3 linked regions of the Drosophila melanogaster genome follow. The protein of the gene in region 2 interacts with the protein of the main gene of each other region in a pairwise test. Each region holds a gene or a part of one and is shown on either strand. Other genes may lie near its edges.

Region 1 (4,036 bases), on a different chromosome or scaffold from region 2:
TCCGCCGGCGGACACTTTCGCCTAACCAAGCCAATCCAACCCATCCCAATCCAATCCAACCCACCCGATCGCCATAAAGGGTATTTACTGTCGCTGCCGCAGAGCCTCGCTTGACGACTTAACCCAAGCGGTCGTTTCGCGTCCATTCTCCGGACGGAGTCAAAGACAAAGGCCGGCGGAGGTGGACAATAGGCAAGGTTGTTGCTTGTGGGTAGGGTTTGAGCTATGAGCTATGAGCTGTGAGCTGTTAGCCCTGAACCCCGAACCTCGAGAATTGAACCTTTCCCGGGGCAAGAAGGCTTGCATGTGGGCCTTTTCCAGGTCGGCCAGTAGGTAGAGTTGTTGCGATGCGGCTATGCCGGGCGAGTTAATGCCAATGCAAATTGCGGGCGCAATATAACCCAATAATTTGAAGTAACTGGCAGGAGCGAGGTATCCTTCCTGGTTACCCGGTACTGCATAACAATGGAACCCGAACCGTAACTGGGACAGATCGAAAAGCTGGCCTGGTTTCTCGCTGTGTGTGCCGTGTTAATCCGTTTGCCATCAGCGAGATTATTAGTCAATTGCAGTTGCAGCGTTTCGCTTTCGTCCTCGTTTCACTTTCGAGTTAGACTTTATTGCAGCATCTTGAACAATCGTCGCAGTTTGGTAACACGCTGTGCCATACTTTCATTTAGACGGAATCGAGGGACCCTGGACTATAATCGCACAACGAGACCGGGTTGCGAAGTCAGGGCATTCCGCCGATCTAGCCATCGCCATCTTCTGCGGGCGTTTGTTTGTTTGTTTGCTGGGATTAGCCAAGGGCTTGACTTGGAATCCAATCCCGATCCCTAGCCCGATCCCAATCCCAATCCCAATCCCTTGTCCTTTTCATTAGAAAGTCATAAAAACACATAATAATGATGTCGAAGGGATTAGGGGCGCGCAGGTCCAGGCAACGCAATTAACGGACTAGCGAACTGGGTTATTTTTTTGCGCCGACTTAGCCCTGATCCGCGAGCTTAACCCGTTTTGAGCCGGGCAGCAGGTAGTTGTGGGTGGACCCCACGATTTTTTTGGCCAAACCTCCAAGCTAACTTGCGCAAGTGGCAAGTGGCCGGTTTGCTGGCCCAAAAGAGGAGGCACTATCCCGGTCCTGGTACAGTTGGTACGCTGGGAATGATTATATCATCATAATAAATGTTTTGCCCAACGAAACCGAAAACTTTTCAAATTAAGTCCCGGCAACTGGGTTCCCATTTTCCATTTTCCATGTTCTGCGGGCAGGGGCGGCCATTATCTCGCTACAGCAGTTCCCAAATGGTTATGGCTGGACACCCCTGCCGCCGCTCCAACGGGGTGGATGAAGCCCCCAAAACCCGAAAGTCATGGCAGCCATGGCAGTGTGGGGCTGTTAAACGTGCGGCATAATATTAAGACTTCATAAAAGCGCAAATAATTCGCTGGCAGGCGATCGATAATACATACATACAAATATATAGTGGGATACACACACTCTCTGCCGGCAAACACACACCACCCGACCCGACTGAGCGGCATAATGCCATATCATTCTTGATGAAGCCGATAAAATCCCATTATTAAGGGGGCCCGCCCGTCCCGCTCGCTCCTGCGGAGCAACCGCCTGCGGGCGGGCGAGACAAAAGATTCGCTCATCCGCTATGAATACCAAATCGGAACTCTCTCTCTCTCCAGCTCGGGAGTGCCATGGCCAGCATGGCCAGGACCTCCTCATGGTCCTGCCGAGCAGAGAACGCGGCTCCATCCCGCTGCTCCGGGTCCTGCTCCTCCGCTTTGTCCCGCCTCGTTATCGCCGCTCAGCACCGAGAGCACAGCAGCGCATCCACTCTCAGCACCGCACGATTAGCACCGTTCCGCTCAGGCTGTCCCGCTCGCACCTGCCTGGGTCGCTGCGATTGGCCGCTCCCAGCGACGGCGGCCATTTGCCTGCAGAGCGCAGCGGTATAAAAGGGCGCGGGGTGGCTGAGAGCAGCACACTCGAGCTGTGACCGCCGCACAGTCAACAACTAACTGCCTTCGTTAATATCCTCTGAATAAGCCAACTTTGAATCACAAGACGCATACCAAACATGCACGGATACCGAACCTACAACATGGAGAGCCACCATGCCCATCACGACGCCAGTCCCGTGGACCAGAAGCCCCTGGTTGTGGACCTCTTGGCCACCCAGTACGGCAAGCCCCAGACACCGCCTCCCTCGCCAAATGGTAAGTTTAAAGATAAAGCCGAGCAAACGTGACGAGTTACTTACACCCAATCTTTCCTCTGTCCAAAACAGAATGCCTATCCAGTCCGGATAACTCCTTGAACGGCAGCCGCGGCTCGGAGATTCCCGCCGACCCGTCGGTACGCCGCTATCGCACCGCCTTCACCCGTGACCAGCTGGGTCGCTTGGAGAAGGAGTTCTACAAGGAGAACTACGTGTCCCGTCCCCGTCGCTGCGAACTGGCCGCCCAGCTGAACCTCCCGGAGAGCACGATCAAGGTGTGGTTCCAGAACCGCCGCATGAAGGACAAGCGTCAGAGGATCGCCGTCGCCTGGCCCTACGCAGCCGTCTACTCCGATCCCGCCTTCGCCGCCTCCATCCTCCAGGCCGCCGCCAACAGCGTGGGCATGCCCTATCCGCCCTACGCCCCCGCTGCTGCCGCCGCTGCTGCCGCCGCCGCTGCCGTGGCCACCAATCCGATGATGGCCACCGGAATGCCCCCGATGGGCATGCCCCAGATGCCCACAATGCAGATGCCCGGACACTCGGGACATGCCGGCCATCCATCGCCCTACGGACAGTACCGCTACACGCCCTACCACATCCCCGCCCGCCCGGCGCCGCCACATCCCGCTGGTCCTCATATGCATCATCCGCACATGATGGGATCCAGCGCAACGGGATCGTCGTACTCCGCCGGTGCCGCCGGCCTTTTGGGCGCTCTGCCCTCCGCCACCTGCTATACCGGACTGGGTGTGGGTGTGCCCAAGACCCAGACGCCGCCGCTGGATCTGCAGTCGTCGTCATCGCCGCACTCCTCCACGCTGTCGCTCTCGCCAGTGGGATCCGATCACGCCAAGGTGTTCGACCGCAGTCCAGTGGCTCAATCCGCTCCATCAGTTCCTGCTCCCGCTCCACTGACCACCACCAGCCCGCTGCCCGCTCCAGGCCTCCTGATGCCCAGTGCCAAGCGGCCTGCCTCCGACATGTCGCCGCCGCCGACGACAACTGTGATTGCGGAGCCCAAGCCGAAGCTCTTCAAGCCCTACAAGACTGAGGCGTAAGCCCGCGATCCACACACACTCTCTCCCCCCCCCCCATGCTCCCCCAAAAGATTGTACAAACTAGTCTTAGTCAGCCTCATCTATTTATTCCCGAAGATTGTACAGATTGTAGAGTAGCTAATTGTAGTCATAATTAAGGCGCAAAATCAAATTAAGAAATAAATGCGAAAATAACATTGAAAATTATACGACACACACTGTTTATTTGAACTACCTGGTACCTGGTATTATCTACATATATATCAACATATATTCATATACCTGAGCTGAATCGCTTTTATGGACCTGGCTCTCTGGATTAGCTGTGGAGAAACCTGGCGGGACAGCTGCGCTGCTGACTGCTGACCTTCCCAGGGAAACTGTGGCAAATCGAACGGAAGAGCGGCAGAGCGGCAGAGCCGCAGAGCGTGCCGAGTGTCCTTCGGAGTGGCCACCCACAATCAGGAGTAAGGGTTCCCGATGCGGCACCGGCGGGGAAGGGAACAACATCCACGGGGGATTGGCACAAGCCAATGGCTTATTAATGCGATCCGAACGGATCCAAGCGGGAGGGCCCATTGCAAATGCAGAGCCACCCCGCTGGGCGGCGACCTTGGCGAGGAGTTGGGCCCACTCCCTGCCACGCGTCAGGTTGCATTGCCAATGGAATCAATTTCGGTGTCCTCGGATTGCATTGGGCTCGGCTAATTAATTGTCACCTCACCCGTTGAGTGACTTTTTTGTTTGTTGGTCCTGGCC
Region 2 (4,993 bases):
AACGCTCGCATGGCTTTTGTATTGCGCCATAAACGTTTCGCTGCTCGTAACGCCACAACGCTCGACGTTTCGCAGCGGCTTTGCTTTCGCTTCTCTTCTCGCGCGTAAAGCGGTCTCCCCAAAAAAAAAAAAATAGAAAACAAAAAATATAAAGGAAAACCCCCTCCGTAGACAGACAAAACTCAAAGTCTCCAACGACTCAAAGCGCCTCAGTCGCTGCCGCTCTGCCGCCGTTTCTGTCGACGCCGCTGCCCGCGCTGGCAGCAAGAATTACCAATTACACGAAATTTTTATACTCTTTTAAAAATTTCGTTTTATTATAATATTTATTATCGTGGCGCGCAGTAGTGTCTGCGGAACTCAGCTCTCCACTCTTTGGAATTTCGGCCCTCCGATTCCGATTCGGATTATACGATTATACGACTATACGACTGTAGTGCGGCAATACGATTCAGTTTCCGATTCGCCGTGTTTATTGTTCCGTTTCGGCCGCCGGCTTATTGTCACTTAAATGTTATAGATCGCGTAAAATATAATAAAATTGTGTGTGAAATTTAAAACCGAAAAAACTGTCAAAACACTATGGTTTATAACTCACTGTGTGCGGTTCGTAAAAATTAAAAAGACATAAAGTTGACATCGTAAAAAGGTTCTCGCCTCTCCGTTCCAGACTTCGATAGTTCTACCTGCAAAGTGTTTTATGACATTTTAAACAAAGTAATTAAAGCAAAACGTTGGGAGAAAGCATTTCTCCGGCCACACACACACTCACGCACTTGAGAAGTCGTTAAAAGCCGCAGGAAACTCACTCTGCCATAAAAATACAAGAGTGCCATTAAAAAAGATCGCGCGCCTATAAATCACACGTACGAAATCCCGCCGGCACGACGTCCATTCGAATTTCCGCGTAATTGATGACCGCATTTTAATTGCTTTTACAACAAATAAAAGATACACACACCCCAAACACACACATGCGACACACACACTTGTGCCACAGCTGCAAATACAACGCAACCCGAGACCATATGCAAATTTAACAAATTTCGTTGTGAATTCGCCAGCTTCGAGCGAAAAAAGTAACAGAAACAGAAAAGCTGCAAATACAAGCTGCTCGCCAAAAGTTCGCTAGAGAAAACTTGAGAAAGGTAACAAAATGCATTTCACTTCTCGGAATCGAGAAAAGTAGCTTAAAGTCGGGCAGCTGGCAAAGTTTCCGAATTCTGTCTCACTAACTCTATCTAAAAAGTACTAACTGTTGGCCATCTCATATAGTACTGTAAAAGTAACCCACATACTAACTCGTTGGCACTGGCAGGGAAATCTAGCTGAAAAATATATAAAGCATTTGGATTATATATTTTTTTCACTTGAGTTCTGTATCATGCTACCCGAAAGATTTATGTTCAATCCAAACATATTCAATTTGGTTAATGTTCTTTTTATGGTTTCCGAGTAATTTTTATAAACATGTTATATTTTTTGTTTTGCCATTTTTAATTCTTGTTTATCACATTGGACGCCAAGTTTATTTTTGTTTTTAGTACCTTTTAATTCGATTAATTTTGTTAGTGATTTATATACTAAGTCCAATGTAGTTTGCATTCGATTATGAAGTAGAAAAGTTAAATACAGAGACGGGAGATGTTCATTAAAGACAAGTAAATTTTAATAGACATTGATACAAATTAAATTGCTGTGTAAATCTTATGAAAAAGTTAAAGAAAAAGATATTTTTAAAATGCTATTTCTCACAGTGTTGAATTATAAAGTCATTCAAGTTTAAGATTTAGGTTGTGCTTACAGAAGTAGTCGGAACTTTTGTTTTATTATGGCTAGAAAGCGCTCCTCTCCACGCTGAATTCAAACAAAATTTGTTAAAGTCACACAAAGAGGAAACTTTAAATTATAAAACGAAATACTCAATCTAGCCATTAACCAAACGACTCAGATAAAGAACCCAAATCATTCGAACTCAGAAATCTCCGAAACTAAAATAGAACAACAAGTGGACTAAACGAAATTCCGAAGATCCGATCCTCGGCCAGAGAGCAAAATATGTGCAATGTCAAAATTTGTTTTCGATAGTATGCTGCCAAAGTATCCACAGTTCCAGCCGTTTATCAGTTCGCACCACTTAACCACCACCCCCCCGAATTCGTCATCTGCAGCAGTTGCCGCCGCCCTAGCCGCCGCCGCCGCCTCTGCATCCGCCAGCGTTTCAGCCAGCAGCAGCAGCAACAACAACAGCAGCAACACGATCGCTGGAAGCAACACAAGCAACACCAACAATAGCAGCAGCAGTCCAAGCAGCAGCAGCAACAACAACAGTAATCTCAATTTGAGCGGAGGATCCCTATCGCCGAGCCATTTGAGCCAACATCTGGGCCAATCGCCCCACTCACCCGTCTCCTCATCGTCGCCCTTCCAGCAGCACCACCCACAGGTGCAGCAGCAACACCTGAACCACCAGCAGCAGCAACATCTGCACCACCAGCAGCAGCAACACCACCACCAATACTCCTCGCTCTCGGCCGCTCTTCAGCTACAGCAGCAACAACACCACATTAGCAAACTAGCCGCCGCCGCAGTTGCCTCGCACGGACACGCCCACCAGCAACTGTTGCTAACGCCCCCGTCAGCGGGCAATTCTCAAGCGGGCGACAGCAGCTGCTCCCCATCGCCCTCGGCATCCGGTAGCTCCTCGCTACACCGCAGCCTCAACGACAACTCTCCCGGGTCCGCATCCGCGTCCGCCTCCGCATCCGCGGCCAGTTCCGTCGCTGCTGCTGCAGCCGCCGCCGCCGCTGCGGCTAGCTCCTCGTTTGCCATCCCCACCAGCAAGATGTATCCGTACGTGTCTAACCACCCTAGCAGCCATGGAGGGCTCTCCGGAATGGCCGGCTTCACCGGACTGGAGGATAAGTCGTGCAGGTAAGATAGATTGCCCTGTTTAAGTATGGGATAATGCAGATTTTTATAAATCGGGATGGGTTTTATGTCCAATCGTAGTAAAATGATCTTAAATGACCCTAATAGGAAGTGCAAATATAAAGTCAATGACAAATGATCTATACTATCTAATATGATATTCAAATATTTGGAGTGCATTGATAGAACTTCTCAGACAGTATCATATTTTAAAATATATGCAAATTTAGTATGACCATTAGCTTTACCTGGCTTCAAAACCTTTAAGAAGATGTTTCCGGGGTTGAAAATACAAAAAAAAAGAAACACTCAGCTCTTCCAAGAACTAATTTCGCGTGCTCTCAATTTGGCGAGCGGAAATGCCAGTCGAGACCTTCAGTAAAATCTGCAAACACTGCAAAACCGCAAATCCGTTTCGAATGCGCTCTAATTATCGGGTCTCGGATCCTGGGACTCTGTCCATTTTCCTCTCGGCCACCGGCCATTCATATTGAATGGCCATAAAGTCGGAAAATTAGAGCAGCCTGTGGTGGCCGCTGGCAATTTGTCGCCGGCCACAAGATTCGCACGCACGCTGACCTTCCGCTGCGGCCATTTGCATATTAGTACTACTGTATGGGCACTCCATGTGCATGTACAGTGAACCCTGCTGTGCGTGGGCGTGTTCGGGATTAGTGTGCAATTAGAGCTAACCGCAGTTTGGTGAAAGGGGCATGCAAATGGCCACCTCATTAGCATTTGACTTTAGTACGGGCGCTGGAGTTGGGAACGTACTATGAGAGCAGGGATCACCAACAATAATGGCTACTTTCTCTCTCCCACACCCACAGCAGGTACACGGACACTGTCATGAACAGCTACCAGTCGATGAGCGTACCTGCCTCGGCATCTGCACAGTTCGCTCAGTTCTATCAACATGCCACAGCCGCCGCATCCGCGGTATCCGCGGCCAGTGCCGGCGCGATCGGCGTGGACTCGCTGGGAAATGCCTGCACACAGCCCGCCTCCGGCGTGATGCCAGGGGCAGGGGGAGCGGGCGGAGCCGGTATCGCCGATCTGCCCAGGTATCCCTGGATGACGCTTACAGGTGAGTCAAAACTCGATACTCGATAGTGCGGAGATATATTATACATAAGTAAAAAAATAACTGCCAGATTCGGACTCTTTGTGAAAGACTTCGGATCTGAATGTGAGTGCCAAATTTGATAAATCTTGAAAGTTATCCGATTTTTAGAATTGAGAATCACACATATCCCAATACAAGTTTATCACACTGAGCCAATCAATCAGTCTTTTAAATTAAGAGTCTGTCTATCGTATCTACTGTGTTCTATATATCATGCCAATCATTATAAAATCAGAAATAATCCGTGCACTTCAGGGAATGTATATCGTCTTAAATCAAGAATAAATTGCCTTCAAGATCTACAAAGCGATCTCTTAAAATTTTTTGTGTACATATAAATCATGGCCACTTACACTGAAATCAAAAAATCAAATAAAAAATTGTAAGAACTTATATTGGATTGAATTATTTAGTCGCTATGTTAGGTTAAATACTATAATTAAAAAATTTAAACAGCTAAGTTGTTTAACAACCCGTAGACTTAAACCAGGTTCGAACTGATTTACAAATTGTATGACCTAACAAAAAGCGTCCAGTCGAATTATCGAATTAAATTTCCCAAGTGTAGTATTTGGAATGGTTGCTGCGTACCTTTTATAAACAATAGATAAACGTGGCGCAAACGTTCCCCAATAGCATTCCCATTTGCACCGCCATTTCGCCTACAATTCCAATTCGTAATGAACACTTTGCGGAGCACTTCCAAGTCGTTTATTTCGCATAAGTCTTCCAGGCGATTCGAATCCGTAAACGAAATGAACGAAGAGCTAAAAAGTTGGCAGTAAATAAAAATGAAAATAGTTTGAGAAATGCTTCTCTTGTCTGTCGTGTTATTTGGCGTCGATTTGTAATTTAAATAGCCTCAAGGTTGCCCCACACCGACAAACGTATAGCCCAAAATGCCGACCAAAAAACACTGCGATGTGCCCCGCGCAT
Region 3 (4,710 bases), on a different chromosome or scaffold from region 2:
TTCAATCTTGTTGCGATGCACCTCCTGGGCATCACGCGTCGACGGCAGCCGCGAGTCGTGCAAGAAGCCATATCTGTGGGAGCATCAATGGCATTATTGGGATTTTTTCTGGCGAATGATTAATATTACTCACTTGTCTGTCCTGTGGTAGATCTCGAAGGTGGGATTCTCCCAGGAGTCCACCACATTGCTGGGATCCAGCCCGAGTTCGTAGCGCCGGAAGATGTCCTCGCGCTCGTCCTCGGCCCGCTTGACCAGCGCCTCCTGCTGTTCGCCGTCAGTCATTTGGAGCAGGATCAGGATTTGGCGGGTGGGGGAGGGGATCGGGGACAGGAGCAGGAGCCGGATCCGGAGGAGCAAGTGGCCAGAGCTGGTTTCTCTGTGCTCTCAGTTGGGGAGCGGCTGCTTCTGAGCTGACTGGGCGATAGCGCGAAACTTTGATAAAAAAAAAATGGAATGGAAAAAATAACACACAAAAGCATTAACATGCGAAAGCGATCCACAATAACAACACTCGTATACTATATAGCTGATGAGCGAATGACGCACACGAACATTAACTATTGTATATATATATATATATATTCAAATGCAGTGAAATCAACATGATCTTTGTTTTTGGAGAAGGAGCGTGGCATAAATGACGTGATGTTTCACCCATATTTAGTGCAGCATCAAAACATAAAGCCATATAAGACTTGGTCACTGATCTAGAAAAACGCCCCCTGATCTGCGTTGTGTGAGTGTGAGTGGGCCAGAAATGTGTGGATCTGCATGCGCCCCCGGGTTTTTGTCGCCTATTTTAATGCGAAATGTGCAATCTTATGCTTTATCGTTCGTACACTTCCTGTTTTCGCTGCGATTTGTTGTATTTTGTCAACACAGACACATACGCACACACGTAACACACACACACACAGACGCTCCGACGAAAGAGAGTGTTCTGGCTTTCACTGGCCACTCTCTCCGCGTTCCTATGGTTGAGTTTAATTAATCGCGCCGACGTTCGTTTACCATTTAATTTTGAATTGCCAATTCTTATTATCCGCACTGATCGGTTATGTTTGGTAACTAGTTTTTCACTATTTTATCTCGGCTGCATGTTTCCGATACATTTGGGGGGCGACTGAGTGTGTGTGAGGGCCAGAGTTGCCAGACTGATGTAATTGCCGAATAACGTAACGTAACAAGAGTACCAGGGATGCGAGCCAATATTTAAGCGATACTTTAGCGTAATGTTATACGAGTTTAAATTTTAGTTGAAATGTTTGTGATGTCAATGTACAAATATGTAAAATGTTTATCTATTTAAAGCTGCAAATGAATGCTCATTTATAAATATTTAACAATGATATTTATTTACTTATTATTTAAAACCTATTCAGTTACTTAATTGCGACAAGTGGCACTTAATGAATTAAAACATTTGTGGAAAACATTTTCACTTCAAAATTTATTTCTTGATAACAAAATCGGCTTTTTAATTCAAATATAATTTTTGTGACTAAATAAGCAGTGCTGCCATACATTCAACTGGAAAACATCGTCAGCAACAGAAGGATAAGTAATCGCTTGATCGATAGCGTTATCGATGTTTTCCCAGCCATCGTTCCACCACTAGCGCCTCTCAAAACAACAAAAAAACAGCGGCAGTCGGACGCGGTTTTTATCATCGAGCGCGGTTTCTTTGTTTTAGCGCTCGAAAATTGTCGAGAACTCTCGTAAAAAATACACTGTACCAAATAACTAAGGAGTGCATGCTAATTGAACAAGCAAATGAATTAAGGTGTATATCAAAGTGAAAAGAAGTCAAACATAACCGATTTTGTTGGCGGCTTTCTTTTATTTTTGTTGAGATACCGTGTTTAATTTCTCCAGTTTTATGCAAACACATGAATAACATAACAGTGGAAATTTCTAAGAGTGCATTGTGAGATAAAAGTAAGCAAATAATTAATATTATGTTTAACATAAAATGCAACCCTCAACAGCGTCCTTTTTAAAGGTGTGCGTTTATATATATATATATATATATATATATATATATATATGTGTGTTTGTGTGTGCGTGTGAGTGATTGTGGATTTTGTGATGCAAAAGAAAATTGCCGCGTGTAAATTTTTGATTTTCAATTCGAGACGAGCAGAGGATTTTTAAACTGCAGCTCTAGCATTTACCGTTAGGGCAAGAGTAAACACATTCAACATGTTGCAGTCACTAAAAACTAAAACAAAAGCAAAGCGGATCACTCTCTTTCTCATTCTCTCATTCGCTCTCTTTGAGTTATAAGTGTTTTTGCCGTGTTTTGTTTTGATTTTTGCACATACACGAAGACATCGAGAGAGGAGAGCGGAGAGTTTCTGCTCTTTTGATTGTTGTTGCATTGGCCAGCTAATAAAATTGTGCCGTTCTTGTTGTTGTTGCAGTTGGATTAAAATTCAAAGCATTGGATAAATGCTAAGTTGAAATAACAACAGTAATAACAAATGGAAAATAGCAAATAGCAAATCAAAGGAAATCAAAATCAAGTTGGATTATCAGCACAGCTTCTGGGTAAGTAAGTTAAGTCTCTTATCGCCTAATTAGTTTATAGCGTTTTAGTTTCGTGTGGGTGGCTTTTTGCATTTCAAAACCAGTTCTATTTCGGGTTTTCATATGCCTTTTTTTCTCTTCTCATGTTGATAAGACCTTGAAGCGCTTTTCGTGTAGAACTTCGCATGATTGATGTTTTTATGTTTGAGGGGAGCTTGAGTCAAAGCTCGGCTTTTAAAAATGGATCAAGACCAGTTTTTCGAGGCTTTGGAATTGCCAAATAATTTCCTAAGCCCAAACTGCAGTTTGTTGTGGTTGTTGCTATTGCTTTTGCTTGCATCGCCTAGAAAATGATGGATGCACACACCTCTCGCTCTACCCTTGCCGTCCCTTTCGCACATCCAGAAGTTGTCGGTTGAGTTTTTATGGCCGTCTCTTTTGTCTCTCCATTTATTTGCCTTTGTCTTTGGACTGATGACTTTGTTTTTGCCCTGTCTTTGATTCTTTCTTTCTCTCTCTCTGCTTCTTCTTCAACGTTGATCCTTTGATTTCGTTTGATCCTTGTAGGTAGAAAAGATTGAGTGTGGGAGAGATCTACCGTTGTTTCGTTACTTCAATCTATAAGATACTAGAATTTTCTTTTTTAAAACCAATTCGAGAAATATTTCAATATATATTTTTGGGGAAAGAAGAATTTTAATTCTTTCGAATATTAAAGAGTTTTTTAAGATTGATTTATAAATTTCTTTTGGATCTTATTATTTGTATTTTGTATACGAAACATTCCATCTTATATTATTATCGTTAGTTTTTTGTAACTCCAAAAATCAAAATAAATATTCAAATAAAGAATTCTGTATTGCCTTTTGTTTTAATGCCATTATGCAATATATGCATTTATTGCTTAAATATTTTTAAAATTATTAACAGCATTCAGCTTATGTCTTTTGAACATTCTCCTTACCAATATCAGATGCATTCCAACCGAAATGCGACGAAGGGCATGCATTTAAACACAATACCTGGCATACTCGACATTTTAAATGCTTTTCATCACTTGATAAACAGTATTATTTGCCTTTCCTTTTTTTTTTTTTACATACATGTATCTCCCTCTGTTCGCCGCCGTTTGTTTTGCCCCCGTCTTCGCATATGTACGTCTTCGAGTGGTCTAACATGTAATGTATGCCTCGTCTTTAGTTTCTTGTTCGTTTCGTCTTTGAGACACCGGAAGTTGTTGCTAGGCTGAAAAAGTTGTGTGTGTTTTTCAGCAGTGTCTCCAGCTGTATCTTTATCTCCCTCTGGAGCCGTATATCCATCTCTATCGACGAGCAAGTGGCGCGTGTGAATGACCCAATTAAGCTGAAGATAACCCGGCCTAAGCTTCGACTTCGTAGGTGGCTTAAAACAACTCGGTTGGCCAAGAAGAAGCAGCCCCAGAACCTGCCAGACGAACATACCTACTATGGCACAACAAAAAAGAGTTCACATCGAATATATCGAATGCGAAGTTTGAACTGTAAACAGGTTTACTTGGCCTCACCTCGCTTCGTCTGCTGCAGTTGGCTGCTACAGGTTTGCCTCCGTATCGCGAACTGCGCGCCATGGAATTTCCTGTATTCATTCATTTTTGAATCCATATAACATAAGCCTTATTTCACTTAAGTTAAAAAACTACAATAAGAAGAAAATAAATGCATACCATTTCAATCTTAAAATTCTTGAAATAAAAAAAATTTCATTCCGGGTGTGAATTTGTGGATTTGATTAAATAAAAAATAACTGTAGTATATATATGTTGATGTTGAAATTTTTAAAAGCTCCTCCATTACTTTCTCCATTTAAGAAACAGGGTAATGTTTTTCTAAGGTCAGCTTATGCAAAGAATAACATATGCAGTAATCCCAGTTTAAGTTATCAACATTTCACTGTACATGGTTTAGTGTGGTGCTTTATTTTGTCAGGCCAAACTCCTTTTCAACATTTTTGTATTAAATATTTCGCACCATGTTCTGCATTTATTCGGATACGAGAGATCTCCCGAGGCTCCAGTCTTCAACTCCATCTCCTTCTGTGCGTCTGCCATCTCTGTTCGACGCTCTAATGCCGTCCTTTTCTGTGGCATATTTTGTCGTTGAGTCAGTTGGGGTCAATGCTGCTGCTCAACTTAACTCTTTG

The links. The genes of interacting proteins can lie anywhere in the genome.
Region 1: the proteins of abd-A (region 2) and eve interact in a protein complementation assay, tested with the Drosophila melanogaster proteins (2 studies listed by BioGRID).
Region 3: the proteins of abd-A (region 2) and mam interact in a protein complementation assay, tested with the Drosophila melanogaster proteins (2 studies listed by BioGRID).

What each region holds. Positions count from the first base shown.
Region 1 is NT_033778.4:9,977,319-9,981,354, forward strand, and holds eve (even skipped), read left to right. Parts: upstream 1-2,000; 5' UTR 2,001-2,096; coding exon 2,097-2,235; exon of another isoform or gene 2,236-2,266; intron 2,267-2,306; coding exon 2,307-3,298; 3' UTR 3,299-3,477; downstream 3,478-4,036. UniProt on the Drosophila melanogaster protein: May play a role in determining neuronal identity. May be directly involved in specifying identity of individual neurons.
Region 2 is NT_033777.3:16,825,076-16,830,068, reverse strand, and holds the start of abd-A (abdominal A), read left to right. Parts: upstream 1-1,963; 5' UTR 1,964-2,065; coding exon 2,066-2,934; intron 2,935-3,761; coding exon 3,762-4,018; intron 4,019-4,993. UniProt on the Drosophila melanogaster protein: Sequence-specific transcription factor which is part of a developmental regulatory system that provides cells with specific positional identities on the anterior-posterior axis. Required for segmental identity of the second through eighth abdominal segments.
Region 3 is NT_033778.4:13,989,552-13,994,261, forward strand, and holds the start of mam (mastermind), read left to right. Parts: upstream 1-1,651; 5' UTR 1,652-1,941; intron 1,942-2,426; 5' UTR 2,427-2,553; intron 2,554-4,710. Other genes in the region: RN-tre (uncharacterized protein), read right to left, coding at 1-73, 134-285.